7 linked regions of the Oryctolagus cuniculus genome follow. The protein of the gene in region 2 interacts with the protein of the main gene of each other region in a pairwise test. Links are inferred from orthologs where the notes say so. Each region holds a gene or a part of one and is shown on either strand. Other genes may lie near its edges.

Evidence for each region.
Region 1: the proteins of FHL2 (region 2) and ID3 interact in binary tests that used the Homo sapiens proteins (3 or more experiments, as listed by UniProt). The link is inferred for Oryctolagus cuniculus from reciprocal best matches to the Homo sapiens genes FHL2 and ID3.
Region 3: the proteins of FHL2 (region 2) and SP2 interact in binary tests that used the Homo sapiens proteins (3 or more experiments, as listed by UniProt). The two-hybrid records come from large-scale screens. The link is inferred for Oryctolagus cuniculus from reciprocal best matches to the Homo sapiens genes FHL2 and SP2.
Region 4: the proteins of FHL2 (region 2) and GNG12 interact in binary tests that used the Homo sapiens proteins (3 or more experiments, as listed by UniProt). The link is inferred for Oryctolagus cuniculus from reciprocal best matches to the Homo sapiens genes FHL2 and GNG12.
Region 5: the proteins of FHL2 (region 2) and KIAA1217 interact in binary tests that used the Homo sapiens proteins (3 or more experiments, as listed by UniProt). The two-hybrid records come from large-scale screens. The link is inferred for Oryctolagus cuniculus from reciprocal best matches to the Homo sapiens genes FHL2 and KIAA1217.
Region 6: the proteins of FHL2 (region 2) and ZNF131 interact in binary tests that used the Homo sapiens proteins (3 or more experiments, as listed by UniProt). The two-hybrid records come from large-scale screens. The link is inferred for Oryctolagus cuniculus from reciprocal best matches to the Homo sapiens genes FHL2 and ZNF131.
Region 7: the proteins of FHL2 (region 2) and SAXO1 interact in binary tests that used the Homo sapiens proteins (3 or more experiments, as listed by UniProt). The two-hybrid records come from large-scale screens. The link is inferred for Oryctolagus cuniculus from reciprocal best matches to the Homo sapiens genes FHL2 and SAXO1.

What each region holds. Positions count from the first base shown.
Region 1 is NC_091438.1:147,378,166-147,382,454, reverse strand, and holds ID3 (DNA-binding protein inhibitor ID-3), read right to left. Parts: upstream 2,801-4,289; 5' UTR 2,035-2,800; coding exon 1,735-2,034; intron 1,625-1,734; coding exon 1,565-1,624; 3' UTR 1,542-1,564; intron 993-1,541; 3' UTR 499-992; downstream 1-498. UniProt on the Homo sapiens protein: Transcriptional regulator (lacking a basic DNA binding domain) which negatively regulates the basic helix-loop-helix (bHLH) transcription factors by forming heterodimers and inhibiting their DNA binding and transcriptional activity.
Region 2 is NC_091433.1:103,248,674-103,252,280, reverse strand, and holds the end of FHL2 (four and a half LIM domains protein 2), read right to left. Parts: intron 1,110-3,607; coding exon 958-1,109; 3' UTR 501-957; downstream 1-500. UniProt on the Homo sapiens protein: May function as a molecular transmitter linking various signaling pathways to transcriptional regulation. Negatively regulates the transcriptional repressor E4F1 and may function in cell growth.
Region 3 is NC_091448.1:24,182,599-24,186,541, reverse strand, and holds the start of SP2 (transcription factor Sp2), read right to left. Parts: upstream 2,801-3,943; 5' UTR 2,354-2,800; coding exon 1,993-2,353; intron 1-1,992. UniProt on the Homo sapiens protein: Binds to GC box promoters elements and selectively activates mRNA synthesis from genes that contain functional recognition sites.
Region 4 is NC_091438.1:104,714,618-104,718,578, reverse strand, and holds the start of GNG12 (guanine nucleotide-binding protein G(I)/G(S)/G(O) subunit gamma-12), read right to left. Parts: upstream 2,801-3,961; 5' UTR 2,683-2,800; intron 2,595-2,682; exon of another isoform or gene 2,440-2,594; intron 1-2,439. UniProt on the Homo sapiens protein: Guanine nucleotide-binding proteins (G proteins) are involved as a modulator or transducer in various transmembrane signaling systems.
Region 5 is NC_091444.1:105,128,045-105,131,544, forward strand, and holds part of KIAA1217 (sickle tail protein homolog), read right to left. Parts: intron 1,241-3,500; coding exon 420-1,240; intron 1-419. UniProt on the Homo sapiens protein: Required for normal development of intervertebral disks.
Region 6 is NC_091445.1:68,707,333-68,710,832, reverse strand, and holds part of ZNF131 (zinc finger protein 131), read right to left. Parts: intron 1,828-3,500; coding exon 1,145-1,827; intron 1-1,144. UniProt on the Homo sapiens protein: Plays a role during development and organogenesis as well as in the function of the adult central nervous system. May be involved in transcriptional regulation as a repressor of ESR1/ER-alpha signaling.
Region 7 is NC_091432.1:182,004,870-182,008,975, reverse strand, and holds the start of SAXO1 (stabilizer of axonemal microtubules 1), read left to right. Parts: upstream 1-1,306; 5' UTR 1,307-1,602; coding exon 1,603-1,649; intron 1,650-4,106. UniProt on the Homo sapiens protein: May play a role in the regulation of cilium length. Stabilizes microtubules at low temperature.

The sequences.
Region 1 (4,289 bases), on a different chromosome or scaffold from region 2:
TGCAGATGTGAGACGGGCCTCTCCATTTCTGACTTCTGGAAGCCAGGGCTGCAGCCAGAGTAGAGAGCATGAGGGAAATGAAACCAGGTCCAGTGATCAGTTTATTCATCTCTGAAATGGGTCTACCAACCACCATACAGGTTTGGGCACCGGGCAAGGCCAACTGGAAGCTCCACTCTTACCACATCTCTGCTAGAAAACCATCACGAATAATTAAGGACACGAAGGGGGCAGCTAGCTAGGTCTCAGGGGATGCGAGAACTCAAGTGTCCCACTTGCCTGAGCCCCCAGCTTGCCAGGTGCCACGCCTCCTTCCTAGCACAGGGCTAGGTCTCTCCTGGGCACAGTCCCAAGGGGCCTGGAGCTCCAGCTGGAGCCCCAGCCCCTTCCCCCTCCTGTCAGCTGGGAATTCTGCTTTTCCAAGTGGCAGGGAGGCTCCGTGTCCCTAAATTCTGCATTAATGCTTAAGGGAATGAGAAGAACGGGAACGAGACCAAATTATATACACAAGTGTTTAAAAATCGTTTATTATGTAAAATGTTAACTTTTATAAAAAGTTTAATATACATCGCACGGTTACAGAAAGTCACCTTCCTGTAAAAAAGTACAAAAGCTATATACTCTATTATAGAGTTCATAATCAGGGAAACAGCTGCTCCAGGGAGACCAGGAGACCAGCCCTGCCGCCGCCTCGGCGGACTTTGGGGTGTACCCACTCTCACCCCCACCCCCCACGGGAAGAGTCTGAAAACTTTGAGGGTGTAGTGGGGGCAGGGTGACGACGCCCAGCTGGTGACCTGCGCTAGCTCTGGCTCTTCCGGCCACCCAAGTTCACAGTCCTTCGCTCCCGGGCGCCAGGTCCAGGCTCGAGACAGGGGGGTTCGGGGGAGTGAAGTGGGCAGGGCGAGGTTGGGGCCCATCCATGCCCTCGGGCTTCCGGCCGGAGAAGGTCGCGGGGGGTCCCAGGCGGAACGGGCGCCAGCACCTGCGTTCTGGGCGGGGGAGAAGAGAGGAGCCGTCAGTTTCCGCCGAGCGCGCCGAGGCGGGGGCCGTCCGCAGACTGGCCGGCGCCAGGGCGGAAACTCGCTCTCTACCTCCAGCTGATAACTCCGCGCCCCACGCTGCCCCCACCCAAGTTGGCGCCAAAGGACCACAGGCGGAGCTTGCGCTCGCCCTCCCCCCAGAATGGACACTGCTGGCGGGGCGGGGGGGGGGGCGCGGAGAAGACACAGCGCCCTTTAAAATGACTCCCAACAGAAAGGCTATTTTACTTGGTCAGAACCGCGCCTCCTTGCCTGGCTCTTTGGCCCCTGCATGCAGCCAGGGGCAACGTGCAAAGGTTAAACAGGGAAACGCACGTTCGACCGAAACTGGTTCTGCCATTCATTTGATGGGACCACCGACATTTCACTTGCGCCCCCCACCCCCGCCCCGGCCTGAATGGTCCTGCGCCAAGGAAGGGATAATCCTTTCAAAGGCCTGCCAACTCCAGCCTCCCTCGGCCCCTACCCACCCCCGGGGGGCGGGGAGGCCAGACTCACCTGGAGGTGCCAGGTCATCCAGGTCAGTGGCAGAAGCTCCTCTTGTCGTTGGAGATCACGAGTTCCGGGGCGAGCTCTGCTGTCTGCAAAAGGAGGAGAGCAAAGGGAGAGTCAGGCAAAGCGCTCGGCACCTCGGGGGTCCCGCCGCATCCCGGTCTGGGCGCTCAAACCCCGCCCCGGCTCCCACGCGCACCTGGATGGGGAGGTGCGGGCCGTCCGGGGGTCCGGGCGCCGGCTCGGCCAGGACCACCTGCAAGTCGAGGATGTAGTCGATGACGCGCTGCAGGATTTCCACCTGGCTAAGCTGAGTGCCTCGCGGGACGCCGGGTACCAGTTCCCGCAGGCGCGAGTAGCAGTGGTTCATATCGTCCAGCAGGCTCAGCGGCTCCTCGGCCGCCGGGCCCTTGCCGCGGCCCCGCGCTATGGCCAGACTGCGTTCCGACAGGCAGCACACCGCCTCGTAGCAGCCGCGCACCGGGCTCAGCGCCTTCATGTTGCAGCGGGAGGGCTTCGGAGATGCACACGAGAGGATACAGCTAGAAACCCACTGGGGCAGCAAGCAATGCGCGCACGCCCGCCGCCGCCCGCCCTTTATAGCGCCCGCCTCGGGGACACGCCTCCTTATTCAAATCGGCCCGCCCGGCCCCGCCCCCGCCCCCGCCCCCGCCCGGCCTGGGCGTTCACAGCCCGCTTAAATTGCTAACAGGCTTCTTCGAGCTGGGCGCTCGCCGGAGACCGCGGAGCCGCGGATCCAAGGAATGAGGAAGCGCTGATGCTGGGGATAGGCGGGCCTCTTCGCCAGCAAGGATTTAAAAAATCACTTAAAACCATTAACTTCAAGAATCTGCCTTTTCCTGGCAGCGCCCCAGATCTTAGAGCTCCCCTGCCCCCTGCCAGGCCACCCTTAACCCAGCACTGGTTCGAACCCACAGCTCCTCCGAGGTCATAAATCGCTAAACAGCAAAGCTTTTTTTTTTTTTTCCTAAGCAAAAGATTTTTTCAAGGGAAACTTGTAAGGAATTAGTGCCGCCTTGTTCCCCAATTTGCTGTTCGTCTGACCTCCAGACTCACTGGCGTCAGGAATTATCTTGTGACCAGAGGGAAAAAAAATTAATTGCGGTGAAGCTGAGGTTACAATGAAGAAAACAGATTTGGGCTAGGCGCTGAGATTGCAAGAGGAGGAGGGGAAGGGGGTTTGAGCAAAGAACACTATTTATTTGAGCAACAGGGGAAAAGAGAAAAAAAAAAAAAAAAGGAGAAAGCCTGGATCCAGCGTGCTTTTTGCATGGGGGAAGAAAAGAGCCGAGGCTTCGTTCCCCATGAACTCCTTAAGGAATCGAATGCATGCCCAGTTGTGCTTGGGAAATGAATTTTGGACAGGGTTTTCAATATGGGAGAGCAGGAGAAGTGGTTTCCATATAAACCTTTTTAGGAGCCCCGATTGGGTCAGCACATCTTGGGTAACTTTTGCTTCCCAGCTCCCCGCACGGTCCCCCCCCCCCGACCCCCGCACCTTTCCACACAGCTCTTGCAGAGGTCCCTGGTGAGCCCGCGGCTCTGTCTCTGCCCCCTTGCTGCCCGGGCAGGGCCGCCACCTGGACTTGATTGTCCGCAGCCCTGCTGAGGTGGCTGCAGCTCCTCCTGCGAGACCAGCATTGCCACGGGACACTCGTCAGCCTTCCTGTCACCTTCCAGCACTCTGGGGACTCTGCATTTCCGCAAGGCTGGTTTCCATCTTGGAAATGACCAGGAAGCATCCCCCCAGTGGTTTCTTCCTTCATCAGCAAATATTGATGGACTCCGTTTGCATAAAACAGTGGCTCCCGCTCTCAAGAATGTCACAATTAGAGGAGACAAGATCAACACAGGAAACAATGAAGAGTTCAATAGTGTGTGGCGTTGATTAACAGGACAATAGGGGCTCAGGCCTGGGAGACTCAAAATAGTGACAGTGGGAAGGACACGGGACTGGAAACCAGAAGCCCTGCATTCAGTGTGCCCGCTCGGCCAGTCCTTTGTCAGGTAATGGTGAACAAACCCAGATACCCCGACCTTAGCTGCCTTGGGAGTAAAGTGAGACGGTGCCAAGCGATTATTTAAAACCCTTTCCAACTGTAGATGGTGAAGGCTTTGTGAGATTTGGACAGGCAGGTGTAGGATGGCAAAGGGCCCAGACAGGATGTAAAACAAGTCCAATGTCACACTACCTGCCATAGCAGAACCAGTCTAGGAGCCTCCTTCCTGCCCCGGTCACACCACGGGCGGTGTGTCCTGAGAACAAGGCCTTCCACAGTCTTCCTCTTGGGAGAGTAACCTTTTCAATGAGGGGGCTGCTTTAGTATCTATAAGAGAGGGAATAACCTGTGAACAGTCAGTCTCAGGACGCTGCCAGCGTCAGGTGCCAGCCATTCGGTCGTGGGACTCCCCAGCCACCCCACAGAAGAGCCTCTCTTCTACCGCGCAGTGGTTTGTGCAGAACGGGCCAAGCCCGGCAGATTCTAGAAAAGTGACGGCCTTCGGAACAGGCAGATGTATGCGCAAATACGCACTCTTTCCGTTTATTGATGTGTCACCTCTCCGTGCCTTAATTTTCCCATCCACAGAATGGAGCTCATCGGCTCAAGTGATTACTGAATGCCCCGTTCTGCAAGCTGCTTCTCCCCACCGGCCCTTCCTGGGGACCTCCATGGGGGCGGCGGGGGGGGGATAGGTGCTTGGTGGGCCCCTCCCTCTACTCTATTGATTACC
Region 2 (3,607 bases):
TTCAGCCACTGTAAACCTAGGCGCCCAGAGTAGTATTCTGACAGCAATGATTCTATCATTCCCTTTGCAGAAACACTGAAGGCTTCCTACATGCCCTCAGTTGCTAGGATACTGAGTATAAAGATGAACAGGATGTCACTTCTGGCCCTCAAGTTGCTTGTGCCCTTGCCCAGTCCTTCACTTGATGGGGGAGAAAGCAGTTCAGTGTAGGAGATCCATCACAGTGGGACAAAGCCAGCATCTGCCAGGAAAAGTGACACCCAAATGGCCCTGCCTGTCACTGGCTTCAAATGCAGAGCAGTGCGTTCCAGGGAGCACTTGGGAAACGAGAAGAAAGAGAAGAGGCAGGAGAGACATGGATCTGCAGGCTTCCTGGAAGTAGTGACACCACTTCCGGTCCCAGCACATCAGAACTTGCAGGGCACAGAACAATCGCTGGGCCAGGCAAGAAAGTTGTCCTTACATTGAGAATCCCAACGTTTAATCATTAATCCAAAACATTCTGTCTGGAATAACTTTATTGTAAATCACATACTCTTGCTTTCGATTTTACATAACAGGAAGTTTAAAAGCTGTAGGTACCAATGCTTCATTACCTTATACAGTTCTTAAAAGTCAAGTTTGTGACATATGCGAATTGCACTTAAATATGCAGTGAAAAGAAAGATAAGCTTATAAAGACATCATTCGAGAGGAGTTTTGCAATTGGATTGGCCCTAATAACTACAGAAATTCCAAACTATCTTCCCACGTAGGGTTGCATGAGGATTCTCGCTTTTCCCTGGGACTGACTTAGTCCCGAAGATGAAAGGATTTAAACAGACAAGACTAGCACTGAGAAGCACATGAGGCAGGTGGAAGCCAGAGCACAATATTGCTGGTGGAGAAAGAAAATACATAAATGTGTGTGTGTGTGTGTGACTCAAGCAGCGACTGCGCGCTATCCCCGCGGGGCCTTCAGATGTCTTTGCCGCAGTCCGGGCACAGGATGTCGTCCCTCTCTGTGAGGAAGCCCCGCCCCACCAAGGACAGGGAGCACTTCTTGCAGTTGAAGCAGTCGTTGTGCCACTGCCGCTCCTCGAAGGAGATGTATTTTGTGCCACCAATTCCTGTTAACAAAGAACAACACCACCACTGAATGAAGGCAGGAAGGGAGGGTTCGCTGGTTAGACTGGAGCCCCACGGCTGAAGGAGTCCTCGCGGGCTCCTCTTCCAAGTCTGCACTGTGTGCTTTGGACAGAGAGCTGTGTGTAAGGCAGATACTAAGTGCAGCCTGCATGAGCCCACAGACGTTGAACAAAGACATACAGGGCCTGGCCCTGAAGTGATGTGATACTACAAAAAGGGCCTACTGTGTGTATCTGTTCACTAGTTTATTGCAGGTTTTCCCACGTGAAACAGAACAGGGAGCAGGTTCCTCAGGCCCTCCTTGTGCCTGCTGTGTCTGCTGCCCAGAGGTTTTTTTTTTTAAAGCTTTAATAAATGAAGCGCTAAAAGGAGTGTAGAGGGGCCAGCGCTGTGGCGCTGTGGCGCTGTGGTGCAGTGGGTTAATCCTCTGCCTGTGGCACTGGCATTCCATCTAGGCTCTGGTTCGAGACCCAGCTGCTCCACTTCCGATCCAGCTCTCTGTTATGGCCTGGGAAAGCAGTAGAAGATGGCCCAAGTCCTTAGGCCCCTGCACCCATGTGGAGACCGGGAGGAAGCTCCTGGCTCCTGGCTTCAGATCGGCGCAGCTCCAGCCGTTGTGGCCAACTGGAGAGTGACCCAGCAGATGAAGACCTCTCTCTACCTCTCCTCTTTCTGTGTAACTCTGACTTTCAAATAAATAAATCTTTAAAAAAAAAAAAAAAAAAAAAAAAGGGCCGGCGCCGCGGCTCACTAGGCTAATCCTCCGCCTAGTGGCGCCGGCACACCAGGTTCTAGTCCCGGTCGGGGCGCCGGATTCTGTCCCGGTTGCCCCTCTTCCAGGCCAGCTCTCTGCTGTGGCCCGGGAGTGCAGTGGAGGATGGCCCAAGTCCTTGGGCCCTGCACCCCATGGGAGACCAGGAAAAAAGCTCCTGGCTCCTGCCATCGGATCAGTGCGGTGCGCCGGCCGCAGCGCACTGGCCGTGGCGGCCATTGGAGGGTGAACCAACGGCAAAAGGAAGACCTTTCTCTCTGTCTCTCTCACTGTCCACTCTGCCTGTCAAAAAAAAAAAAAAAAAAAAAAAAGGAATGTAGAAGAGGAAAGGGTTCATCTTCTCTGGTGGGGCGGCCAGGGAAGGCCCCAGCAACTAAGTGGTGTGGGGGTGGGGAAGAAGGAGTGGGCCTTCCTCAGAGTAAAGTCCTTGACACAGCTCCAGGAGCGTGAACGCAGGCGGTGCAGTCAGATGGGGCGGGCATAAGATGAGGCTGTTAGCATACATGGAAACAGACCAGGAAAATGTGGAGGCAAGGGACAAGGCCGTCTTGTAATTGTACATAGGAAAAGTAGTATCTCATTACAACTGTTCGCTTTATATTGGATGCCTAACTCCCATCAACTGTTTTAATTACACTGGGTACAGTTGATTTATGCTGCTGTTCATCACCTGGAATAAAACAGAATCAAACGCATATGCTGATGTCAGAATGGAAGTCACTTCTGTTGAAATGGGGGTCATGAATTTCAACTTCAAAGAATTCCTTCCAGAAAGTCTTAATGAACTATACTAAAACAAAGCAAGCAGACCGACCACTCCACTTCTAAAATCTGAGGTCTCAGACTTAGATGAGGAATCTGTAATTCACCAGCTAATTTCCGTTGTAACACTTTTTATTAGAAAAATTTATTTATTTACTTAGAAGGCAGGATGATAGAGAAACAGAGAGAGAGAGAGAGAGAAAGAGGGAGATCTTCCATCCAGGGTTCACTCCCAAAATGGCTGCAATGGCAGAGGCTGGTCCAGGCTGAAGCCAGGAGCCAGGAATGCCATCCAGGCCTTCCACACGGGTGCAGGGGCCCAGGCACTTGGGCCATCTTCAGCTGCTTTCCCAGGCCATTAGCAGGAGCTGCATCAGAAGTGGAGCAGCCAGGACCTGAAATGGCTCTCGCTCTCAGATATGGGATTCTGGCATGGCATTGCCCTTCGCATTATAACTGAATTGTCTAGGCTGGTGCTGGGCATTAAACTCTGTACAGGAGGGAGAGCTTAGAGTTAATCTTCCTCCACCAATCAGTTGCAGGGTTGGGACCTGAACCCAAGACATGCAATGCCAGTTCTAATACCACACTGATGGCTACTGATGGAGCAGATATTTATATTAGTGAAGCTTTGCAGATCTCTTTTCCTAAACGCCTTATGGTTTAAAGAAAGTGACGCCAAAATAAACAGTGTTTCTAGACCACCAATTGCCCTCACGAATCTGACTCCCAAGGGCCATGAAAGACCAAGGGTTCACAGATCCTGTGCCTGGCACTGCACAGGACTCAGCTGGTGGGGTAAGCTAACTTCCCTGCATATCTGGGAAACTGAAACATTCCAACACCCAGCTCATCGCAAATAAATCATGACGCGGGCATCTGTCATGTAGGAAACCGGCTAGGTTCTGCAGCGGAGAGCCAAGCTGGAGAAGCAGAGGTGGAGGC
Region 3 (3,943 bases), on a different chromosome or scaffold from region 2:
TGCAGCCCGGGGCCGGCTCCCCTCTCCCCTGCGTGTTCATCCCACGGGGGAAACACACGGTCGTGCTCAGACCCGGTGCCCTCGAACAAGTGCCTAGAACGAGCGCCCGCTCAGCAGCCCCTACACTCAACACTGCGACTCTGCGGCTGCGCACGTGCCCATTCCCCTCTCCTCGATTCTTCTCTCTGTCGAAGTCAGCAGCCTGAACAGCACGTCAGAAAGGGCTGTTGTGGTAACACAGAGCGAAAGGCAATGTTAAAAGTCTCTTCCAGGCCACCCCTCTCCGTGTCAGCCCTAGAAAGACATCAGGCAACATCTCTAGAACCTTCCATGGAAGGTTCTCTGCCTTCCGGGTAAAGCCAGGCTGCTTTCTAGCCCTGTACACGCCTGTGGGTTTTTCTCCTCCACCCACAAATCCTGTCCTTTTCCCTCATTCCTAAACACCTACCAGTTCTTACCCTGCCCTGCCTCCCGGTCAACTCCTACACATCCTCCAAGACCCTGCCCGAGTCTGCACGCCTCATCCCCACCCAGCTGAAGCGTTTTGCTCCCGTGTTCTGCCCTGTTCTTGGCACGCGTGAAAGGCGTCCGTCACACTATTTACACACGTTTATTTTCACTTCTGACTCTCCTGCATTAGTGGCCGGCGCTGTGGCATAGCAGGTAAAGCTGCTGCCCTCCACGCCAGCATCCCATAGTTTGTGTCCTGGCTGCTCCATTTCCGATCCAGCTCCCTGCTGCTGGCCTGGGAAAGCAGCAGAAGTTGGCCCAAGTGCTTGGGCCCCCACACCCGCGTTGCAAGACCCCAGTGAAGCCCCTGGCTCCTGGCTTTGGCCTGGGCCAACGCTCGCCATTGCAGCCATGTGGGGAGTGAACCAGGGGATGGAAGATCTCTCTCTCCTTCTGTCTCTCTCTGTATAGAACTCTTTCAAAATAAAGTATATCTTTTTTAAAAAGAGGAAGGGGACGGGCGCTGTGGCGTAGTGGGTAAAGCCACCGCCTGCAACGCCAGCAGCCCACACAGACACCAGTTCGAGACCCAGCTGCTCCACTTCCCATCCCGCTCCCTGCTAGTGGCCTGGGACAGCAGTGGAGGATGGCCCAGGTGTTTGGGCCCCTTTCCCCATGGGAGACCTGGAAGAAGCTCTTGGCTGTGGCCTGGCTCAACCCCTGCCCATTGTAGCCATCTGGGGAATGAACCAGCAGATGAAGGATCTTTCTCCTTCTCTCCCTAACTTTAATAAATAAATACGCCTTTAAAAAAAAAAAAAAAAAAAAAGGAGGAGGCTTGAGGCCAGTGCGGGAGGACGTCAGGTATGCTGAGTTAATGAACATTTGCATACAGTCACCTCTCCTGGGCCTTGTTTAGAGCCCATACATTCTGTTCCAGGCCAGCTTTCCAGTTCCAGTTGCTTCACTGTCAAGCCCGGGACTCCACCCGGGCTCGGTGACTCAGCTCTGTCAGGGTGCAGGGGTTCGGGGGTGGTGGGGTGGGACACCCCGCTGGGCCCCCGCCAACCTCGCCTGGCACAGGAGCTTCCCCAGGGCCCCAGCTCGAAGGCGGCACAAGTGGCCCAGGAGAGCGCGTGGAGGGGTTTTGAGCTGTGTGGCTGGGTTTGCCCTTTGGAACGCTCTCTTTTCTTACTCTTAGTAGAGGTACAGCCAGGAAGGGGGCTTGCTGAGGAGATGACCCCTTGTCCTCATGTCGGGACCATCGGGGGCCTTGAGCCTCCTTTACAAACCCTCCCCCAGCCGAGAGCTCTCCCCTTCCAAGATGGCCCCTAAGCGTCCACTGTGTCCCTGGCCACGCTTTAGACTCACGACCACTTTTAACACGTTCCAACGTCTGGGTCGCATCCACGGAAAGCCATAGAGCCCAGGCCTGGGTACGGAGCAGCTCCCCACGTGGCTCCATGGGGTGCCGGTGAGAACGGGGGTACCTGCCACCCCCACTCACTCCTGCCCGCCCCCTGCTGAGTTGCCCCACCCTACCTGCTGGATCTTCGTGGAGCCAGGGCCGTGGGTGCAGGGCAGCCATCTCTCCTGTCTTCTCCCCGTCTTCCCTTCCCGCCACTGCTGCCTTCAGTGTCTTTGGTGTCACTTTCTCCCCATTCCTAGTTGCATAGGTCCTCGTCTCCCTCCACTCCAGGCCCTGGGTTTGTCTTGTCCGCCATCGTCCCGTCCACTGCCGGCCCATGGCTGGCTCCAGTAAGCTGCATGGCGGCTGCCGCTCGCTGGTCCTGACGGCTGCTCGCAGTCCTACCCACTTCTCTTCCGGGCCTCGCCATCCTGCGCCCCCACATCCTTTCTCCCTCCCTGCCCACCTCCTCCCCCCTTTCCTTTTCCTGGGCATCTCCTGTCCTCTTCTGCACGTAGCTGCTCACATCTAATCTCTGGGCTCCAGAGGGTGAGGGGCCCTCCCCGGGGTGCTGAGAGCATGGGAGAGAGGGCGGTGGCGGCTCTGAGTCTGCCGTGCTGTCGGTGCTGGCACTGCCACGCCAGCCCTGACCGCTGGCTGGACGGTGGCTGCCCATCTCTGCAGAGCCATGGAGGCATCAGAGCCGCAGACTTTGCAAACCATCTCTGGGGCTCTTCGGCGCCCAGCCAGGGAACGGCTCGAGGGGACGGACAGACGCCTAGGGGCCGGTCGCCATGGCCCGTGTGCGTTCTGGGTCCGTCCACGTCTTCAGTGATCCAGCTCAGCTCCATGTTTATGACCGTGAAGCACTCACAGGCTGGCAGACGCGGCTCCCTGTCACACCCCGGCAGCCACCTCATTCCCTGGCCCAGGGCCACACACAGCTGCCGTCCCCCCCGCCCCCGCCCCCTGCCTTTCTCTGCTGCCCAGGGAAGCAGCTCTTGAGCCACGGCCTTTCTCATCCACTCCTCTGCCCCTGGTTCCCTGCCCAGGCCGGTAGTGGCTGCCCACCAACTGCCATGGAATCTTCCAGTGAGACATTCCCCCCATCCTTCCCCACAGGGTTCTTCCTTGTGCCCTGGTTCCTCCCACCCCCAGTTCCCTGGGGCTGGGGTCTGTGGAGCCCAGGAAGAAAGAGCAGGGCCCCAGGAAGTGTCTTCCTTTAGGTGGGAAGGCACTGGTGTCTCGTCAGCCTTCGTGGTCACCACCAGGGGGCGCCCAAGGCATTCCCAGAAGCAGCTGCCCTGCGTTTTCAGCCCCGCAGCCAGGGCAGGCTGGCATTGAGATTCAGTTTAACAAGTACCCGCTGTTGACCAGGCCTGTTTGCCACTTCCTCAGGACGGAGAGTGTGTCCGAGCCTCTGCGGAGAGACTCCTCGCACAGCCCCATTGCTGGGGCTGCCGTTTGGCACAGGGGGTTAGACCACTTCTTGGGACACCTGCATCCCATATCTGAGTGCCTGGGGTCAAATCCTGCCTCTGCTTATACCAGCTTCCTACTGATGCACCCTGGGAAGCGGCTGGTGATGGCTGAGGTACTTGGGCCCCTGACACACACCTGGGAGGATCAGATTGAGCGCCTGGCTCGTGACTTTGGTCTGCTCAGCCTCAGATGTTGAGGCATTTGGGGAGTGAACCAGCAGATTCTCTCTGTCTCTTTGCCTTTCAAATACAAATAAAATTTGTGACACCCGCATACTCATATCAAGTATCTGGAGTTGGGTCCTGCCTCTACTTTTTTTTTTTCTTTCTTTTTTTTTCTTTTTTTTTTTGACAGACAGAGTGGACAGTGAGAGAGAAAGACAGAGAGAAAAGTCTTCCTTTTCTGTTGGTTCACCCCACAATGGCTGCTGCGGCCGGCGCGCTGCGGCCAGTGCGCTGCAGCCAATGCACTGCGCTGATCTGAAGCCAGGAACCAAGTATTTCTCCTGGTCTCCCATGGGGTGCAGGGCCCAAGCACTTGGGCTATCCTCCACTGCACTCCCAGGCCACAGCAGAGAGCTGGACTGGAAGAGGAACAACTGGG
Region 4 (3,961 bases), on a different chromosome or scaffold from region 2:
TTCACTGTGGGTGAGGTTCAGTCCAAGTGTCTTCCAAGGATTGTTTCATACACTTTCATAAACACTCAAGAGACAGAGACCACTAAAAATCCAATGTTATAAACCAAACTGAAAAAAGGTTAAATGACTAGAATTCTCACCCAGGTCTGACAAACACCGAACCCACACTGAAACGGCTGTTAAACTGCTGCTTTTCCAAGTTAGGGATCAGAAAAACATGCCTGACTTCCACAACTAGGCTAACCTTCCTAGGTTAAGTTTAAGCTGACATAAAACTTTAAAAAAAAAAAAAAAGCCAAGCCAAAACCAACAACAAGAAAGTCACCTAATAAAAACCCAACAGTGAATGACGTAATTCTAAATTAGAAGTCCTTTTCTTGCTAGAGAGAGCGGGAATCAACATTCAAATACAAAAATTAAAAAAAAAAAAACTAATTTGGTATTAGCTAACTATTTCCTCAAGCCTCCTGACTCTGAAGCCCTGTGCTCTGGCACACTGAGGAACCACCCCTGTTGTCTAACAAGTAACAACACAAACCCTACAACACAAACGCAATTGTTAGAGAGCTAGTCTTTCAGACAAGATAGGAGCTTCTTCATAGGAAACGTTTGTACTCCCATTTTTCAATCTCTTGTTTAACACCTCCCATTTTTACTTATTTCTACCCAAATCTAAAGCATTTTATGCCCTAGGGCTGGCTACTAAATGACCCGGGCTAAGTAACAACAGCATAAAGGATAAAGTCTAAACACCCAAAAGACTGGTCAGCAGTTTCTGGACTCAACCCAGGGTTTTATGGCGCTGGTTAACTGTTAGAGATGGTAAAGGAATTTAACATTTGATCCAGAAAGTCCTTTTATCACTTAAGTCTCCGGAAAATGTTTGATTACTTTAAAAAATTATGTGTGTGGATCACACGTTTTGTTTATTGGAAAGGGGGGCTGCTAATACATACCATCTGGTTTAGAAAAAAAAAACCAAAAAACAAAAAACCTAGCTTACTTGAATGGATTATTTTGGCAATAGTCAAACGCGATCCGTCATGGGGGCGCTACCTGCACGGTTCTCCTGGGTGAGGGCCCCCTCCTGCTGCTTGGCAGTGCAGCGTTTGGGGACTACCACTTTAATAGCAAAGCCAAACTCCTCGTTTAAAACCGACAACACAGAGACACAGACGTCCCAAGATTCATTATAGACAATCTATTCAGGCGAGGCTACAACCGCCCCAGGAAATATAAACAGTGTCCGCGGAGGCAGCAGGGGGAGAGGAAATAACCGACGCGGAGGAAGCTAATCCTGTGAAGTCGGTCCAACTCCACAGGGTCCAGTAAGCCCCCGGCGGCTTCCCACTCGGAGCAGCCGGCCAGCGCGCCCCGGCGCGTGGGCGCAGGGGACCTTCGTCCGCCCCCGGGCTTGGGTCGGCTCTGCCCTGGTCTAGCCACGGGTTTGAGGGTGACCGCGACGTGCCAGGCCTCGCCGAGCCCCTTCCCCAGATTTCTAGCCGTCCAAAGTTTCTCCCCCCAACACGCGGGAAGGTGAACGAGAACCACGGCTTCCCTTTCCCAAGTTATGAATGGTTGAAGTCAAGTTCGTTAAGATTCCGAGAAGCCGAGCGGCGAGTCTTAGGAGACACTTGGTGGCAGCGTTTTCAAATGATCTTTAATCGACAGGCCCCGATTAAAACCAAAACAAAAGTCAACCCGATCCGCGGTACTAGTGTCCGGGTAACACCTTAAAAAAAAAAAAAATCACGCCAGACCCCAGCGGAGCCCTGACCTCCTCCTTACCACCTGCAAGCACAGGCTGCGGAGGGGCAGGCTCCGGGGCTGCGCCCGGGGTGTCCCCGCGGCTCTCCCCCGCGCGACCCGCTACTTCCCCGCTAGGCTCCCGGCGCCGCCAGGCTCTGGTCCCCAGAGAGCGCAGAAAAGTAGGGAAGAGGGGCGTGGCGCCCCCGGCCGCCCGCCGGCCCTCCTCCAAAGCCGGGCACCTCAGCCAAGAAGGGTTGGGAACACTGGGGACCTCCCACCCGGGCGCGGGGCTCGCGGCCGAGGGCCGGCGAGGGAGCAGGCGCGCGGGGAAGCCTCGCCTCCAGCCTCTACTCTCCACCGGGGGCCGCGTCCCTCGCCCCAGCCCTCGGCCCCGGCTTCCCGCGCCCTCCGGTCGCCGCCCGTCCAGGGCGCGCGCGCGCCGTCTCGGTCTCCAGGTCTCGGCGTCCCTCGACCTCCGTCCTCCACCCCCTTCTGCGGCGCCCAGTGCCCCGACAGTCCCCGCCCTCCGGGACACTCTTCCTCCCTCCTCCCTCCTTCCTTCCTCTCTTCCCTCCCTCCATCTCGCTTCCCAGCACCCGGGGCTCGGAGGCGGCCGCCGCCCCGCGCTGCGCCCCTGGGCCCGCGGGGCCCCGGCTCCCCGAGCGCGCGCGCCCGCCGCCCGGAGCTCACTCGCTTGCCGCTGCGCTGCCCCCACCGCCGCTGCCGCCACCGGGGACTCGGTCTCCAAGGGCTCCTGGAGACGGCTCCGACCTCTCCTCCTCCTCCTCCACCTCCTCCCGCTCCTCGGGCGCCGGCTCCGCCTCGCTCGGGTGGGCGGGGCGGGCGGCCCGACGGGCGGGGCGGCGGCCGCCCGGTCTCCTTCCTCCGCCGCGGGCCCCCCCACCTCCGGCCCAGACGCCCCAGCCGCTGTACCCGGCGGCCGCGGGGCCCGGGTCGGGAGCCGGCGGGGCTCAGCGAAGGGTCTGGCCGCCCTGGGCCGTCGTCCGTTCCCCGAATTCTCATGGCGTGCTGGAGTTCCAGGGACTCGAGGGCCCCCCGGCCCAACCCCACCCGCCTCTCAGCCGGGCCCCGCCAGGTCCGCGCGAGTTCCCTTCGCGTGCAAGCGCCTTGGCAGCCTGGTGCCATCGGTCCCCTGGGCCCCCGAAGATGAGCGCTGCCAAACCCCTGCACAAAAGTTAGGCTGGGCTCCAGAAATTTCTGAGGAAAACAGGCTCAGTACCATTTAAAGCGCCTTGGGGCCACGGAGAGATTTTTGCTCCCCAGAGAATGGAGGTAAAAGCGAATCTTTGCACTTGATGGCGCGTCCACCCATCCTGAGCTTGCCTCCTGTCCACTCCCCACCCCCATGAAATGTGTGTTTCCTGATGTCCAGAACTTGGCAAAGCCCTGAGCAATGAATTAATTGGGTTTGGTTGAGCTTTTCTGGACAGATTCGGGGTCAGGTAGTTGAAGAGCCGCTTTTGCTAACCTGGACTTCATCCAGCCACCCAGCAAACACTGAGCACAGGCTATATGCCAAGCGAGGTGCTAAAGCGAAAGATGGGGACACAAATCAGGGGGCTTGCCCTCAAAAAGTGTCGAAGCCAGAAAAGCTACAGAAGGTCTTGCTGGCTAACAGACTTACAGAGTATCCCCAGGTATCTGCATTCTTGCTTAACTGGGTGGAGATGAAAGAGAAGATGAGGCCCAAGTTGGGGACTTGGAACCACTGGGGGCAGAGGCCATGCTTGAGGTGGAGTCTTGTGTGTTGAGTTTTACCAGCTGCTCAGAAGTGGGTCACAGACATCCTTCCAATCCTGCCCATTACTCAGTATCAGTCTTAGTGAAATCATTTGGGCAGGGTGCACAAGGGGGTGTCCCAGATGCAGGGAGTGTGTGTTTGGGTGCCTTGCCCTTGATGGTGTGGTCTTAGCAACCTGTGGATGGCAGTGGTTGCTGGCGCACAAGCCACAGCCTGCCAGAGAAGCCCTTGACTTCCTGCTCTGTATAGCATTAGGAAACATCCGACTGATTCAGACAAGATTCAAAGGATACATCATAACCATTATAGCCTGAAACCAACAAGGACTTGTTGCACAGGGTTTGCACCTTTTGGCCCCAGACCTTACAAGTTTGACTCCTACAACCCTACCACCGATTTCCCTTTCTGGGGCACTTTATAGTTTATTAGATGCTTTGATGTACTCACTCT
Region 5 (3,500 bases), on a different chromosome or scaffold from region 2:
GTTTTTATCAATCCTGAAGACAACGACAAAACAAAACCACATTCTAAACGAAAAACGCCAAGCGCCACTCAAACGCCTCCTCCCTGAACCCCTCACTCCCTAAACCGGACAGCAGAGCAGTGACCACAATCCCTGGAGACGTCTGTGTCCCATGGTTCCTGCACGGCCTGACTTTCTTCAGCGTGGCTCAGGTGCACAATGGTGACAACACCGTGAGACCCACACCCCAAGGCCTGCACGCTGTTGACCCCACGGGTGCACCTGTCCCGCTCAGCACAGCCTCACCGGACCCCACCCACTTGGAAACACTTGGCAGACCAGGGTCAGCTGTGGGCGGCACGAGGCTGGTGCGTGCCCTGTGTTCCCTGGGGGACCCCTGGAGAGCAGCCCAGCTCTCGCCCACTCTCCCCACGCCTTACCTGGTCTCTCTGTCTTTGGGAATAGTGGCTGTGCTGTAGGTGAATACTTGCTTCTCGACCAGGGGCGGCCCGAGGTCCACAAAGCCCGGAAGGTTCCGTGGCTTTTCCAGGTACACCAAGGTGCCCGGCTCCTTCTTGAAGGACTGACGGCTGGGCGAGGCGCGGTCGGGCTGCAGGGTGTGGGGGAGCCCGTGGGCGCCGTGAGCCGGCAGGTCCAGCATGCGCAAGTCGCCGACCCGGTGCGGGGAGGCGGGTGGCGTCTTGGCGCCCAGCGTGGGCAGCTGGCTGTCGGGGTACTTTCTGGGTTTCTGCCGGTACAGCGCCTGCTCCATGTGCATCTCGGCTTGCAAGGAGGGGTTGCAGTAGGCGCTTGCCGAGCGGATGGCTGTGCGGTGGTAGGCGACAATGTGGTCGGGGACATCAAGGGGGTGGCCTCCATGGGACGAGGCTATGCTCATGCGCCCGTCGTGGTAGAGGTAGGGGTCCGCGTAGAGACCCTCGTTCCTATACATGGCCAGGTTCTTGCCTCCGAGGTCCTCATCCGGCTTGACGTCCCGTCTCTCCAGGATGGCACTGGGGCTGGGGGAGATGGATCGGGAGACGGGCAGGCTGGAGAGTCTGTCCCTGGGGATGGTGGCGTTGCCAGGCACCATCATGGGCCGGGAGCCCCCGTACGGGATCCTGGACGGGGAGGGGGGCATGGAATGGGGCACGGGTGTGGACGGCGGGGAGCTCGGGATCGCGTGGGCGGGATGAGCCATGGAGCCGGGTCGGGAGGCACCGGGGCCTTCTCCTCGTGCGTAGACCATTTCCCTCTGCATCTGCAAATACAACCAGGCATGAGAACGTGGCCTTGACACCCAGGTTTCGGGGCGTCTCGATGTGACTGATGGTGTGGCCTCCTTGAGACCCCCCTCCCCCAGCCTCCCCCTGCCTACCCTGCAAGGTGTTCATGCCTTCATTTCTGGAACCTTCCCCAGGCTCAGGGACTTTACAGGTATGGAGAAGTTAAAGATGATGGGGGCCTGCGCTGTGGCCTAGTGGGCTAAGCCTCTGCCTGCAGTGCGGCATCCCATAAGAGCGCTGGTTCTAGTCCCAGCTGCTCCACTTGCGATCCAGCTCTCTGCTATGGCCTGGGAAAGCAGTAGAAGATGGCCCAAGTCCTTGGACCCCTGCACCCATATAGGAGACCCAGAAGAAGCTCCTGGCTCCTGGCTTAGATCGACATGGCTCTGGCCTTTGTGGCCATTTGGGGAGTGAACCAACGGATGGAAGACTTTTTTCTCTGTCTCTGCCTGTCTGTCTGTAACTTTACCTCTCAGTTACATAAATTAAGAACTCTTTAAAAAAAAAAAAAAGAAGCTAAGAATGTTGAGATGGGTGAAATGCTCTCCAGTGGGCCCAATGCAATCACGGGGTCCTCATGAATTGGACAGGGGGCAGGGCAGGGAGGTCGGGACGGGGGGAAGCTGTGCCACACACAGAGAGACCAGGGATGCCACACTGCTGACAGTAAGGATGGAGAAGCAGGCAGGTGTCCCCAGAAGCCGGAAAAGACCAGGAAAGGGAGGCTTCCTCAGGGCCTGTGTCCCTGTAGGATGCAGTGACCTTGGCCAGGAAACCCATTTTGGATTCTTGCCCCTCCCAAGTGTCAGATAACAAACTCGAGCAGCTGTACATCGCTAAGTCTGCGGCAATTCGTCACAGTGACTTCAGGCAGCCAGTGCACCCGACGTACAGCCCTGTCTCTCGGGCTTGAGGGGAGAAGATGGAGAGTCGAATGGGCTAGTAGTGCTGCAGCGGGGCTTTCCAAAGCTTCCCCTGTGCACGTCTTCCCCCCAGGAACTCTGGGAAATAGTAACCCGGCTTTCCCAGGTCTCCAAGCTGACGCAATCGAGGGATGGGACCAAGGAAAGCTCAGAGGGAAGCTGTCTTCATCCGCCAACCCTGCGGCACCCAGAGAGAGACGGGGAGATGAAGACGCTCTGGGGACCGGCCGCACCAGCAGGGTGCACCAGCAGGCGCCTTCAGGAGAACAGGGACTTTCTGCTGCGCTTAGGGTCAGACCAAGACCCGCGAGGGGCAAGTGCACTGGATTCCCCAAAAGGCCCAAAGGGCACCAACAGCTCCAGCTCCCCATTTAAGTCTGCTCTGTGCCAGCACAGGTGCCCACGTGCCCCATCCTGCTCCCAGGAGATCTGACTGATTAGAGGCGTAAGTGTGGGAGGGCGGGGTGAGGAGACAAGAACCAGGATGATGGGGCCGGTGCTGTGGCACAGCAGGTAAAAAGCTGTCTGCGCTACCAGCATCCCATATGTGTGCCGGTTCGAGTCCTGGCTGCTCCACTTCTGATCCAGCTCCCTGATTATGGCCTGGGAAAGCAGTGGAGGATGACCCAAGTGCTTGGGCCCCTGCACCCATGTGGGAGACCTGGAGGAAGCTCCTGGCTTCGGATTGGCCCAGCTGTAGCCATCTGGGGAGTGAACCAGTGGATGGAACATCTCTTTCTGTCTCTCTCCCTCTCTCTTTCTCTAACTCTGTCTTTCAAATAAATAAATAAATCTTAAAAAAAAAAAAAAAAGCCAAGACCCTTGGTGAGCATGATGGGGAAAGAGTAGAAATCAGAGGCAACAGGAGAAGGCTTGAAATGAGACAGAGCCCCAAACGACGCCTTTTCATACGCATGCATAGGACCAGCCAGCATCCACTGCTCTGAGCAAGCCAAGGTCCTCACCCATGAGGACATGGGCCAGGACCAGCCCTCTGAGCTGTGGGAGCACCCCTGCACGGGCCTCTCAGCCTCCACCCAGACAACCATTTCTGGGGAGCCCCAGGGGGTGCTAGGTCCTTGCCCACCCCCCATTGGGTTCCCACCACAACAGGCTGGGTGGCTCCCCCTCTTGAAACCCAGCCTGTGATGTCCTCCAGCCGTCCTCACCCTGTGATCACAAGCTCGGACTCCAGGTGCACCTGCTCTGCACGGCCCCCAGACTTCTCTCTGTCGCCGCCCCGCAGACAGCCACAGAACTCGGTAGCTCGGTGCCTGAGACCAGGAGGACCCCTCCCAGCACGCCTGCCTGG
Region 6 (3,500 bases), on a different chromosome or scaffold from region 2:
TGGTAACTCTACTCTACACCCTGTTATAATGGGTCGGGACTACCCAATGGTCAAGTCATTGGTGGGAGCTACTATGTCTGACAGAGACCTAGGGAAGAATGCTTTGGGGGAGGCAGAAATGACATGGAATTGGGCAGGCAAAAGGTAGGCAAGCAGGAGATGCAGAACTCTGAGGGGCAGGGGTCACTGGGGCAGTCTTCCTAGAACATCCGTCTCTTGTATGGAGTGGCTCCAGCTGAAAGAACAGTACAATGACCTTACCCTCCTCCTGCCTACCAATCCTGACATACTTGTCACTGAAGAGCTGAAGGGATATGGTCATGTATTTTGCCAATTTAGCTGGTGAATCAAAACAGTTAACTAAATGCATGTAAAAAAAGAATAAACATGTCAGAGATTGCTTGTATTGCTTACTTACGAAACATGTTAACTTGAGAAATACAAAGTTAGTAACAATAAAGACTCAACTACAATCAGGATTTAATAATTTATGATCCTTTCCTAAATATATCACAAACTATATTTTATATATTTCTTTGAAAAATCTAAAAACCGGCAAGGCATTAACTGATAATTACTCTCAAGGCTGATGTTGTTTTGCACTTGAATCATTATTTCACCAAGATATTAGTAAAAAACAGTGTACTTAGCCTTCAGATTAATACAGAAAGTGGGTTTCTGTAGCACTGTTTTTTTCAAGGAAAGGATTTGGACTTGAAGAGAATGTGGAAAAGACAAACTTTTAAAAGTACTTGCTGGCCGGCGCCGCGGCTCACTAGGCTAATCCTCCGCCTAGCGGCGCCGGCACACCGGGTTCTAGTCCCGGTTGGGGCGCCGGATTCTGTCCCGGTTGCCCCTCTTCCAGGCCAGCCCTCTGCTGTGGCCAGGGAGTGCAGTGGAGGATGGCCCAGGTGCTTGGGCCCTGCACCCCATGGGAGACCAGGAAAAGCACCTGGCTCCTGGCTCCTGCCATCGGATCAGCGCGGTGCGCCGGCCGCAGCGCGCCAGCCGCGGCGGCCATTGGAGGGTGAACCAACGGCAAAGGAAGACCTTTCTCTCTGTCTCTCTCTCACTGTCCACTCTGCCTGTCAAAAAAAAAAAAAAAAATAAATAAATAAAAAAAATAAAAGTACTTGCTCATTACCTGTATGTTTTCGAAGATGCTCTTTAAAATGTCCAAAGTGGTCAAACTGTTTCTCACAGTACTGACAAATGTGAATTTTTTTCCCAGTTCTTTGCTTCTTACTGACTCCACCTTCTTCAAGGTGGTAACAATTTAGGTGCTGTTTCCATGCGCTCTCCCGAAGATACCTTTTATTGCATATTTCACACTTGAAACTCTCAGTGGAGTGTGATTTCATGTGTTCCTTAAAATGGTAAAACAATTTAAATGAACGGTTACATTTCTCACAATGGAATAAGTCCTTCACATGTGACAGCTGAAGTTCCACAATTTCAATACCTTCTACCTGTTTGCTTATGGGGTCAGATGCACAGCCGTCTTCTTTAATCTGTCCTTTCCTATCACCTTGACGGTACTTGCTGGTAATGTCTGCCAACAGTGCTAGAGCGGAATCATCAGAGGAAGCTGTGCTCTGTATGTATTTTATGGACTGCTTAGCAGAAGCCACTTCCTCTAACGTTTCGATGCCTTCATCTTCCACCTCGATCGTGCCCTCGGCAATCTCCACCTCGATTTCAACAGGTTCTGATTCTGCAGACGGCAATGACTCAGTGATAACATTTGAAGTTTCTGCAATCTTCCTTTTTTTGGCCTCACTTTTTCCTGTGGTATTCTCCTCTAATGGAGCTGAATTTTCTTTGTTTCTGAAATACAGAATGTGTAGATTTTAAAAATCTGTAAGATTGAAATCTTAAAAGGCTTTTCTGAAGAAACTGATACAGAAGAACAGAAAACAAGGTTGGATAGCTTATACTTTATGACCCCAAGACTTACTAAAAAGCTACAATTATGACAATGACATTTGGTAAAGTATAAATATGAAGATAAACACAACAAAATAAAGTGCAGAAACAGATCCACACTTGTACATTAAATTTATTTCCATAAGAAAAAAAGTTCCTAGGCAATACAATGGAGAAAGCTAATTTTTTTAACAATGGTACCAGAACTGGTATGTGTATGGGAAAAATAACCCTTATCTCACATCATACACAAAAAAGTAGACCTCAGGTTTAAATGTAAGAACTAAAACTATTAAATTTCAAGAAAATCTGCAGGCAATCTAGTGAAAAAATTCTAAAGTAGCATACCAAAAAAAAAAAAAAAAAAAAAAAAAAGGCAGAGATCCCTAACAGCAAAATCTGGTGAAATTAATTTCATCAAAATTAAAAATTTCTACCCTTTAGAATTACAGTTAATTAAGAGGCAATTTATGGAAGATATTTATAAACATCCATCTGTCAAAAGTATTATATCCAGAATGGGATAAGCTATCTTACAACAAGCGCAATAAAAGATGACACCTGTTGAAAGACTATTCTCTAAGAGTTTCTTGAGTGTCTGAAAATCTTACAAACGTTTTGGACTCTTCACAGATACATGCACACAGTACAGACAGGAAAGGTTTTTTACTGTCCCATGTAATAAGGACAATAGTCCCTCCCTCTAGGATAAAGGCCAGGCAGGTTTGCTTGTAGCTCATCATAAAAGACTTGGGTTTTCTAAGCTAAATATTCCTTAGCTATGATATAAACCACTCACACATACAGCATTCACTTGGGCCATCCTATGCCACCCCTGTGGGACGACTTAAGAAGGGAAAACTAGTGTCAACTCAAAACTCTGCTACTTGCTGTGATCATGGATGGTGATAAAATCCTGTCCTTTGGGCCCCTAAGTCTTCTGATCTACCAGCATCCATCACCCAGTGGTGGAATAACTTGCTAGCTTGTGAGCAAAACCTCAGATCCCTCATAATTCTTGTCAGTTTCTGGCACTGAGGACAGGATACCAAAACAAGGTAAGGTTTTCTGAAAGCATGAGGGGCTGGTATTGCAGCACAGCAGGGTAAACAGTAGCCTGTGATGCTGAGTGCTAGTTCAAGTACTGTTTCTGCATGTGGGAAGGCAGCAGAAGATGATCTAAGGACTTGGGCCACTGCATCCATGTGGGATATCAGGATGCAGTCCTGGCTTTGGTCTGGTCCAGCTCTGGCTATTGCAGCTATTTGGGGGAGTGAACCAGTAGATGGGAATATATTTCTCTCTCCTCCTCCTTTTCTCCTTCTCTCTCTCTCTCATGTTCTGCCTTTCAAACAAATAAATAAATCTGTAGAAAAAAAAAAAGAGGAAGGATGAAACATCACATAGCAATTAACGGACTATGAGGAAAGTTCACGGAATTTGGCGGTAAACACATTGACCAAATTGTATAGTCACAACTGGACAATAAAGAATCTTCCACTTTATTGCTATCACTGTGAACTGTGTCTTCCTCCTCCAAAAGATGATTACAAGGGGCTAGCATTGTGGTGTAG
Region 7 (4,106 bases), on a different chromosome or scaffold from region 2:
CTAATGTCTTAAATAGCGCTGGTCCTGGGTAGCTGAAGGGATGAAATGTGTTTCTAAAACATGCAACATTGTCTGATATTTCAAGTGTTTAAAAATCACACACATCAGTAATGCAGCCAACTGAATACCAAGTATCACAGCCATTCCCCCAGAATGTCCAACAAGCAGGCCTTGTACTGTGAAGAACAAAGGGTCTGGTCCGAGCCGTGGAAAAGGCACGATTCACTTGCCTTAAGGAAAAGCGCATTTTCTCCTTCAGGCCACGGAGAGCTGCCGAGAGCAGGCCACAGGATCTCCCTGACTCACACTAGCAGGAGCAAGGTTGGGTAATTCTCAAATTAGGGCTCACATACCGTCCTTTAAGCCATCCTAAAAAAGCCTCTTTTATAAAATCTCATGTTAGGAAATCACGTATCTATCAACAGGGAAGAATTGACCATCAAAGCATTCCTAACTGAAGCAAGAAGACAGCCAAAAGTGTTAACAACAGAGCTGTAAAAGTATCTTACATCCTGGAGGGAAAAAGTGTCAAACTTGCTTTCTAAGCGGTGTTTCCTTCCTTCCCATGGTTCTCAGGGCCAGGCAAGTGGAAGCAACACTGTCGTTGGGGGAAGGCTGCTGGGAGAGGGCCAAAGAATCTCTAGAACCATGGTTCTTGAGTGTGGTCCCTGGCAAGCAGCATCAGCAAGAGGACTTGTAAGGAATGCCCATTCTCAGCCCACTCCAGACCTGCCCGGCGCGGAGCCCCCAGCAGCTGGTTTTTAATCAAGCCGGGTGGTTCTGATGCCCACTAAACTCTCAGATGCGCTGCTCCAAGGCATCATTACCTACACCTGGAGAAGGGATTGAGCACCCACGTGAGCCGTGAAAGCCTGCGCTCATAAAGGGCCTCGTCCTCCAGCGCTCAGAACTGTGGGGAACGGCGGCTTTGACCCCTGAGGCTAGAGAGTGGGTTTCCACAGGAAGATCTGGAAACGGTACTCAGGGCTCGGCCTTCTGGAGGTCAAGGGGTGCACTTCCATCGGCGGGGCACCCGTGGATCCTAGAAGTAGAAAACGCCACTCCACACGCCGCAGGAGAGTTTTCGGCCTCTTAGGACAATTGACCGTGGCGTTTGCGCATGGCAGCACCCAGCAGCTTTCCCTCCAATGTTTCTCCAGCTTTCCCCAAAGTCCGCTGGGGAGACTGTGTCCTGGGCCCCCCAAGGGAGGTGCCGGGAGCTTCCCGACCTCACAAGCGGTGTTTGTGATGTCACCACCATCTCAAGGCGTGCTCCTCCTGGCTTTGGTGATGTCATAGAGGACCCGTGATCCCGGGCCCTGGGGCTTCCAGGGGCTGGGGAGGCCGCACCAGGCTAGTGGGACCGGGCGGTGTGCAGGGAGAGGCCCCCCCAGGCTCCGTGCTGCTCCCTCGGCGCGCAAGGCCAGCTCCGGGAAGGGAACGGAGGACAAGACTTTACAAGAGGGCCACTTGGTTTTCTTTCGTGTGAATGTTCAGAATCTCTGCCAAGGCCCTTGAGATTTAGCGTGCTCCCTCCTGGGCTGTTGGGGTCTACAAGCAGCTGCCGCTGGGGGTGCTCTGAGGGGACATCAGGGCCTCAGGATGGCCCCTGTGAAGAGGAAGTGCATCTGCGACCTGTGCTCTTGCGGGTAAGGAGGCTGCGCCCAGCGCAAGGCTGGGGAAGCCTGGCTTTTCCGACTCCGGAGCCAGGCAGGGCGTTTCCCACAAAGCGGGGCTGGGGCCTCAGCCTGCGGCTTAGCTAGGAGCGCAGGTGGACTCACCCACCTGTCGCTGTTGTCAGCTTGCAGCGCCTGCAGCCAGCACTTCATGTGCTGGGCTTGAATTGAAGCAGGTGAATGGAGCTGTTCCCAGGGCTTTCCTTGTGTCAGAGCTGCAGGAAGGTTGAAAGTGGGCCCAGCCCTGGCACAGCTTGTATCTCTTCCTTGCAGCCCAGAGAGTGTCATGGACCGAAAACACAGGCCAGCTTTGCTTCTTTTGTGCTAGGGTGCTTCTTTAAGGACCCAGGTTGGGAAGATAATTTCTTTAAAAAAATTTTAAAGTGACTTTTACTTTATTAACTTATTTGAAGGTTAGAATTACAGAGACAAGGAGAGCCAGAGACCGAGATCTTGCATCTGCTGATTCATTCCCCAAATGACGACAACCACCTGGGCTGAGCCAGGCCAAAGTCAGGAGTTTAACCTGGTTCTCCCACGTGGGCAGCAGGGGCCCAGGCACAGTGTTTGGGATAGAAATGTGTAAGACAGTGCTTCCATCTTTGCACAGATGGGATGGCAGGAAAGCTCATGAAGAGGGTACACAGTGAGACATCTCCTCTTGCCCCCGGCAGGCGCCTGACTTACCTGGATGCCCCTTCTCTGCCTCTATTCCCTTCTGTTCCTGCAAAAATTCTCTCAGACGTGGAGACTGTCCTGGAGTGTGTTCTCCTTTCCTTCTCCCCCTCTTGGTTTCAATCGGGAGTCTCCGGTTTGGACCTCACATCCCAGCCTTTTCTGTTCTTCGATTTCAGTCTCCGTGCTTGTTGATGCGTCTGGCTGCCTCGTGACCCTCCGCTTGGAGCCGTCTCCCACTAGCTGCCCCTCGCATGTGAACCATCATTTAACTGTTTCCAGAGTCTGGTCCTTTCCTCTTCGCGATCTTTCTTAGAATGGTTCTTTGCCTGGCTCTTTTTTGTTAGGTTTGGAAACTGCCCCTAACACCTTGCTAGCTTTACCCACTGTGATTTCTTTGCTTGGAACCACTCTTCCAGCTGGCTTTGGGTCTTCTGATTGGCCCTCCCTGTTCCTTACCATCGCCCTTCCTTTCTCCCAATTGCCTACGTCCCTCTTCCTGCTGCCCGACCTTTAAGGCCCTGTTTCTATTGCAAGGTTCCCATTAGCCCAGCTCTGTAGGGCCCTGTCAAAGAGACCCTGCTCTGTGTTACTTGTTTCTGATTGTGCCTGCCTGCTTCACAGCTCCCATGGACTGTGTACTCTGGGAAAGCAGAAACCATGATTTCCAACTGTGTGTTTTTAATACTGAAACATTTCTCTCCATATAGCTATCAAAATATCTTTTTGAACGAATGTTTTTTGCTTGTTAAGGTTAGTAACATGCCAACAATGGATTAGAGATACAAGACTTGGAGTTGTGCTATCTAGTAGAGTAACCACATGTAGCAATTTCATGTCGATGTCGATGAATTAAAAGGAAATACAATCATAACTTGTTATAATTGTACTAGCTTATTTCAAGTATCAGTAACCAGATGAGTCTGGTCTCCCACGTGGTTGGCAGGGACTCAAGTACTTGAATCATCATTGCTGCTGCTGGGATCTGAATTTCAAGGAGCTGGAGTTGGGAGCCAGAGATGAATATCAAATCCAGGCATTCTGATATGGAATACTTTTTTAAAATTTTTTTATTAATTTGAAAGAGCTACACAAAGGGGGAAAGAGAGGGAGAGACTGATTCTTTCATCCCCAGATGGCCACAATGGCCAGGGCTGGACCAGGTAGGAGCCGGAGCTTTTCCCAAGTGGGTAGCAGGGGCTGGGATCTTGGGCCATCTTCTGCTTTTCCTAGGCCATTAGCAGGGAGCTGGATTAGAAGTGGAGCAGCTGGGACTTGAGCCAATGCCCACATGGGATGGAAGAGTTGGAGGCAGCGGCTTTACCTGCTACACCACAGTGCCTGGGACATGTTTTCTTAACTGACATGCAAAGCACTAGGCCAAATACCTGCCCCCCTCCCCCTTTTTAAAAGATTTTGTGAGAGGTAGTTATAGATAGTGAGAGGGAGAGACAGAGAAAGGCCTTCCTTCTGCTGGTTCACTCCCCAATTGGCCACAAAGGCCAGAGCTGCGCCGATCCAAAGCCAGGAGCCAGGAGCTGCTTCTGGGTCTCCCAAGTGAGTGCAGGGGCCCAAGGACTTGGGACATCCTTCATTGCTTTTTCAGGCCATAGCAGAGAGCTGGATAGGAAGAAGAGCAGCCAGGACTAGAACCAGCGCCCTATGGGATGCCAGCTCCACAGGTGGAGGATTAACCTACTGCGCCACAGCGCCAGCCCCCCTCCCCCTCATTTTTTACAACTGGTGATTTGTGGA